Linked DNA regions of Mus musculus: region 2 is reported to be linked to region 1. Evidence: microRNA targets listed by miRTarBase, many of them from high-throughput screens and not tested one by one. Region 1 holds a microRNA gene; the other region holds the end of a gene's coding sequence. Distances are between the middles of the regions.
The links. The annotated mature microRNA mmu-miR-758-3p reads UUUGUGACCUGGUCCACUA and lies in region 1 at 1,960-1,978, shown strand. An mRNA with a match to its seed (bases 2 to 7 or 8) in the 3' UTR can be bound and repressed. Matches are read on the target gene's strand: a 7mer-m8 pairs with bases 2 to 8, a 7mer-A1 pairs with bases 2 to 7 and ends in A, and an 8mer does both.

Region 1 (3,110 bases):
GATGACAACCTCCAGGAAGGTGTCCTACATCCCAACTGGGCATGCTCCCTCCCTCCTTAGGACTTGAAAAAGTGGCAATTAGCTCCACAGATGCTCATCATCAAGGGATGCTGCGTGTTTTCATCATCTGCAAAGCTATCATCAGATGCCTTCAAGACATTATGCCCATAGAAGGACAGCTAGGGCTACATGATACAGTGCAAAGACAGATGCATGAAGACACAGTCCCTGTTTCCACTGATGCTTCGTATATAGTATCTTTTTTTCCATATCAAGTCTAGCCTTCTAGAGGAAGATGACCCAGCCTGGCTCCTCCATGTATGCTTACAGATCAAAGTTGCTTCTTGGCTCACTTCTTCTTACCTCCAGCCCAGCCTTGGAGAACTTGCTGAAGATGCTGCTAGCCTCAGAGACAGGGCTCTGGTTCTTGCATCAGCAATGACCTCACGGTACCTGAAGAGGGATCAAGCAAACTGCATGTGTATTATTAACACCATTTGTAACCTGGCCTACTCTTTTCAATATCAACTTCAGCTTTGAAGGTTTCCAAAGAGGCCCCATTAACCTTGGGGGTGGGGGGGCAAGGCAGAAGGACAAATGCCTTGGGGTAGAGGTTGTCCATGCTTCTTGCTTTACTTACAGCGCATGTTAATTTGGTCCACCTTCCCATAATAGTGAATGCGCCTTGGGGGCTTCCTGTGAACAATATTTCCTTAAAGGCACAGTGCTAGTTACGGGGTCTTCTCTTCGCGTCCTTGCAAACTTCTCTTTGCTATATTCTCTGCATCTGCAGCAGGCAATGCATGGTGGTCTCTTTTCAACATTGCATCTAGGGTTTCCTGGAAGTGATAATCATGAGGAAAGAAGCCAGCTCCTGCACCACCCTCTCTCCATGGTACCTGAAAAGATGGTTGACCATAGAACATGCGCTACTTCTGTGTCGTATGTAGTATGGTCCACATCTTCTCGTTATCAAAGTCATTCGTGAGGGTTTTCCAGAGACCGAGCCAACTTCATGGGAGATATCCTGTCCTGGCTTCAGCACAGTACTTGGGGAGATGGTAGACTGTCGAGTGTGTGCGTTAATTCCAGCATGTACAGCATGGTCCACCACATCTCTGCATCAGCCGGTCACCAGGGGCTTTCTGAAAGCCATACCAATTGAGAGTAGGGCTCAGGCGGCAGACCCTATCCAACACAGATTACCCAGTGCTTGGCTACAGGCCATGTTCATTACCTACGACTCTGGCCATTTGATCCAAAGCCAATATTTGGCACCCAGCCCAGCCTTACAGGGCATCCTGGAAGTCATAGTGGCATTAAACATGAGTTTGTGGCCATTGCCACACATGCCGATTGCTGGTAGTTTGTGACACTCATTGAGAAGGCATTTTGGAGGTAACACCAAATTAAGTAAAGTGAGCTGGAATCAGCCAGCGTTACCTCAAGGTATTTGAAGATGCGGTTGACCATGGTGTGTACGCTTTATTTATGACGTAGGACACATGGTCTACTTCTTCTCAATATCACATCTCGCCTTGGAAGACTTCCAGGAGGTGACATCTGCTTTGAGGAAGAGCCAGTGTCCCGGTCTTCCTACTGCTGCTGCTTGGTACTTGGAGAGAGGTGGTCCGTGGCGCGTTCGCTTCATTTATGGCGCACATTACACGGTCGACCTCTTTGCGGTATCTAATCCCGCCTTGCGAGCTTTCCTGGAGCTAACACCAGCTGTGGGGTGGGGACACTAAATGTGTGTGCTAGCGCAACCCAGCCAGCGGGTTTGTCTTTTCTTGTGTCTGACAATAACTCTTGTGTGGCAGCCTTCTTCTCAGCAAATTTCTCTGGCTTGGCAGCTTCGTGGGCAGGGTGACTTGCAGACCAGGAAAGTGGCATCGACATGTGATACACGTGTGGGTGCGTGAGGTGGTTGACCAGAGAGCACACGCTATATTTGTGCCGTTTGTGACCTGGTCCACTAACCCTCAGTATCTAACCTTCCCTTGGAGAACTTCCTGGAAGAGATCTCAACTTTTGGGGACAGAGGCAATAAGCCAGCTGTACGCTGTTAGACTTGGAGACAGCATCCTCAGTACTTGCAACATATGTGCCTGTTATGGTAGTATTGGATGGGCTTCCAATGCTGTCCTATACTTGGATCCCTTCCTTGATATGGGGCCATCCAAGTTCAAGAAACGTACCATGTTGTCAGACATGACCAGGGTGTGTGTATGCCATTTATATATGGCACAGGTCGCAGGTCACCTTAGCACACTTGCATGCTAAATCTGTGGGAGGAATCATCTTTGGTTTGGGGGCATCTGTGCCTTTCTGTGGTTACCCAAAATGGTGGTAAGTCCTATAGCCAGTCTCTACTGCGCCACTGCTCTCTGGTTGTGACATAACTTCAGGATCATGCCATGGAGGTCTGCTGTACTGGGGCATGTGATGGGATGGCTGTCAGATATATATCAACTAATGGCTTGCTTGAGCACTTTGACTAACATCCAGTGTGCAACCCTGCATTCAACAGGCCTGCCAGGTCTGAAGGTCACGTTGGGGAATTACCGAGGTAGTCTTGTCAGTGTTCGCTTCTGGTACCGGAAGAGAGGTTTTCTGGGTCTCTGTTTCTTTGATGAGAATGAAACACACCCAGCTAACCTTTTTTTCAGTATCAAATCCCATCTTGGAGGCTTCGTGGTCCAGATCCCAGTCTCAGGGAAGGATGGTCCTGTCAGCATCCAGCCAGGGGACAGGAATAACTGGTTCTCCACAAAGCCAGCGAGTGGATTATCGTTCTGAATGGTGTCCTTTGTCCTCTAAACCCTCCCAGGCCTGCCAGGTCTGAAGGTCCAGTTTGGGAAGGTGTCATTGTTATTGTTAACTGAGGATGTGGAAGAGGGGTTTCTGTGTTTGAAACACATTTGGTCAACCTCTCTTCCCATCAGAACAAACTATGGAGGCCTTCTGGTCCATACCTCAGCCTCAGCTGAGGACACACTAATAGTTATGAACAAGTGAGTGACGGACAAAACCCATCCCATACATCAGATTTCTGTTGCCTGTGCTTCTAACCTTCAGTATCTTGTCCATTCTCAGGAGGACTTCTCAAC
Region 2 (3,078 bases), 38 Mb from region 1:
GCGACTTCGTGGGCGAGAGCACCACCACCAGCGACTCAGAGGAGAGCGGGGGTTTAATCTGGTCCCAGTTTGTCCAGACTCTCCCGATTCAAACGGTCACGGCCCCAGACCTCCACACCCGTCCCACAAAAACCTTTGTCAAAATCAAGGCTTCGCACAACCTCAAGAAGAAGATCCTCCGTTTCCGCTCTGGCTCTTTGAAACTGATGACTACCGTTTGAGTAGCTGATGTAGCGAGTGTCTTCTCCTCCCCCTAGTCTCTGAGAAAAAGAAAAAGGTGTTGTCTTAATATTTGTGTCATACTTAAATGGAATACTTTCCTTTCACTAGGATAAACCCAAGATAAATTATGTCTCGCGGTCATGTATGGACGCTAGTGCCTTTAATGGAAGGTGAAGGATGTATCTCTAGTTAGAAGTGAATATTGAGGTCTTAGTGGTGGTGATAGTGAATGCATTTTGATTATCAGATGTTTCGTCCGAGTGTCTGGCCAAGTACAGGTGTGTGATGTTCAAGTTTTATTTGGATGAGACCTTTTGTTTCCAAGGTTCGTGGATAAAATTTTTAAGCCGTGAACTCGCTCCTTGATCCTTTAGGGCTTTGTCCCTGAAAGGGCTTTCCGGTTGAGGGGCATTGCATACAATTGTGTAGAGTAGGTAGAAAAAACAAACAAACAAACAAAACAGTCATTGCTTTCTGTAAATTTTTTACTATAGACAACACTCTCAGATGTCTCTCCATCCTATTTTCTTCTTAGAAGTACACTTTTTACTGGATTTAGAACTTAGTAGACCAGACTTTTAATCTGGAGGTGGTAAACTGGATAGGGAGACTGATAGGACCTTAAAAGGATTCACAAAAACCTTTGCCACCTGTAGTGCCTCCGCCTTCGTTACAGTAGCCCTTTCATGGGCCATATATCCAGCAGTTTTTGATGCCTTTCTATCTCTCTGCTCCTAATTTGTAGCCAATACAACTGTTTGTCCCTTAGAGGGCTTGTCTTTGGGATAAAGTGTTGGTCCTTTGGTGCAAAGAAATTCACCCTTACTGGGCTTGACTCCAAGCCCAGAATTGCTCTCACCAAGCACTGGCCTGAACAGTAGTGCAGTTCAACCCTCACCGGACCGCTGACTTATCTGGAAGGGCATTACATTTTTTAAAAAAGCTTTTGGTAAACAGTATTGTGTAAAATAGAGTTTTTAAAATACTGATATATGCATGTTTTGTGCATGAGTAGTAGTTCTTTGGATTCCTGTTTTGATATTCCTGTTGCTGAATTACTGTATGATATAAACAGTATGTGTTTTATATATATCATTGTGTAAATTTAATATAACACATTATATGCTGTACTAAATGATTTGTTTTATTGCTGTTAAACTTTGTTATTTGTTATAAAAACCAGATGTTTACACCTATAAATCTTGTGCTGGCTGTTGGTGTTATTTTTGAGATTTACATTAGACTTGTTCTAGAGTAGAATATTATTTGCAATAATTAAATAGGTTTTACCCAGCTCAGAGAGGATAATGAATCGGAAACCTTTTTTTAAAAAAATTAAATTAGGTTTATGAGTTTTATTTTTGTGTGTGAGTGCTTTGCCTGCATCTGTGGATGCGGACCGTGTGTTTGGCTGGTGTGCTTTGCCTGCATCTGTGGATGCGGACCGTGTGTTTGGCTGATGCCTGTGGAGGTCACAAGAATTAACGGGAGTTACTGATGGTTGGAAACTCCTCTGTCGGTACTGAGAATTGGACCAAGGTCCTTTGTAAGAGCAATAAGGGCTCATAGGTAGTAAGCCATCTCTTCAGTCCCCCAAAACATTTCCTTAGTTAAAAGTTGAGGTAGTTTAAGTTCAGGTAATTCTTACCTGTCTTTGTTTTGTTTGTTTGTTTATTTGTTTTCTGAGACAGGGTCTAAACTGTAGCCCAGGCTGGTCTGAAATTCACTATTTAGCACAGGCTGGCCTTGATTTTTTTTTTTTTTTTTTTTTTGGTTTTTCGAGACAGGGTTTTTCTGTGTAGTCCTGGCTGTCCTGGAACTCACTCTGTAGATCAGGTTGGCCTCGAACTCAGAAATCCGCCTGCCTCTGCCTCCCAAGTGCTGGGATTAAAGGCGTGCGCCATCACCACCCGGCTGATGGGAGATTCTTTATGTCTTTCAAATTCTACTTTGGCGTATTAGTGTACCTTGCTGATCCTCGCCTGAGTTACTGCCTTGTTAAAAAATGAAACTGGTTTTCTAAAACCAGTTTCGTCTTCCCCCTTCACTAACATTCTAAGGAAAGAGCTTTCCTTGTGCCTCTCTCTTCCTCATTGAACATCACAACGGGCCTGAGAGAGTCTACATGATAACCTTTAACCGGTTTGCTTGCTTGTTTGTTTTTAAATGTATGTGTTTGAATGTTTTGCCTGCATTTGTGTCTATGCATTCTGTGCATGCCTGGTGCCCTCAGAGGCCAGAAGAGGATGTCAGGCCACCTGCTATTGTTGTAAACAAGAGTTCTTTAGAATATTTCCTTATTTTAAAAAGTTGTGCTCATTATAAAAACAGAACTAGCCAAATAATACTTAAATAATGACAAAAACAAACTTCTTCAATTCTTTCTCAATCCTGCACTTGGGGGATGTGTATCTCCATAAAAACTGTTATATGCAATGTACATATACTAATACCCTTGGCCCTTTTTCATGAAAATGAAGTTTCCAACCTTGTGTTTTATTTTATCATATGCATCTTTCATTTTGTGGATCTCTATGACAGATGTCCCACTTCTGTCCAACGGCCTGGTGACTTGAGATGTCCTCCACAGTCTCAAGCACTTGGATGCTTTGTCCCCAGTTGACGTCACTGTCTTTGAGGGTTCAAGACCCGCACCATTCCAAGTTTACTCTCCCTCTGCTTTTTGCTTGTGGTTTGAGGGGAGAGCTCTTGGCTCTCCCAACCACCATGTGGGCGTGAATGCTGCCAGGCTTCTCCACTGTGATGATGATGATGATGCTCTGGAACCGGAAGCCAGAATAAGCCCTTCCTTCTCTAAGTTGCTTTGGTCATAGTGATGGTGTTTTAGCACAGTAA

Region 2: miRTarBase lists Dact1 as a target of mmu-miR-758-3p. Seed matches in the 3' UTR shown: 7mer-A1 at 854-860.

Annotation. Positions count from the first base shown.
Region 1 is chr12:109,710,899-109,714,008 of GRCm38, forward strand. Mir758 (microRNA 758) reads left to right here and starts at 1,912; the gene lies at 1,912-1,992. Mir380 (microRNA 380) reads left to right here and starts at 905; the gene lies at 905-965. Mir1197 (microRNA 1197) reads left to right here and starts at 1,419; the gene lies at 1,419-1,538. Mir323 (microRNA 323) reads left to right here and starts at 1,610; the gene lies at 1,610-1,695. It also overlaps Mir329.
Region 2 is chr12:71,318,674-71,321,751 of GRCm38, forward strand. Dact1 (dishevelled-binding antagonist of beta-catenin 1) reads left to right here. Exons shown (of 4, transcript NM_021532.4): 4 at 1-1,434. The coding sequence ends at 221. Among named protein-coding and RNA genes, the nearest start is that of Dact1, 10 kb to the left of the region's middle.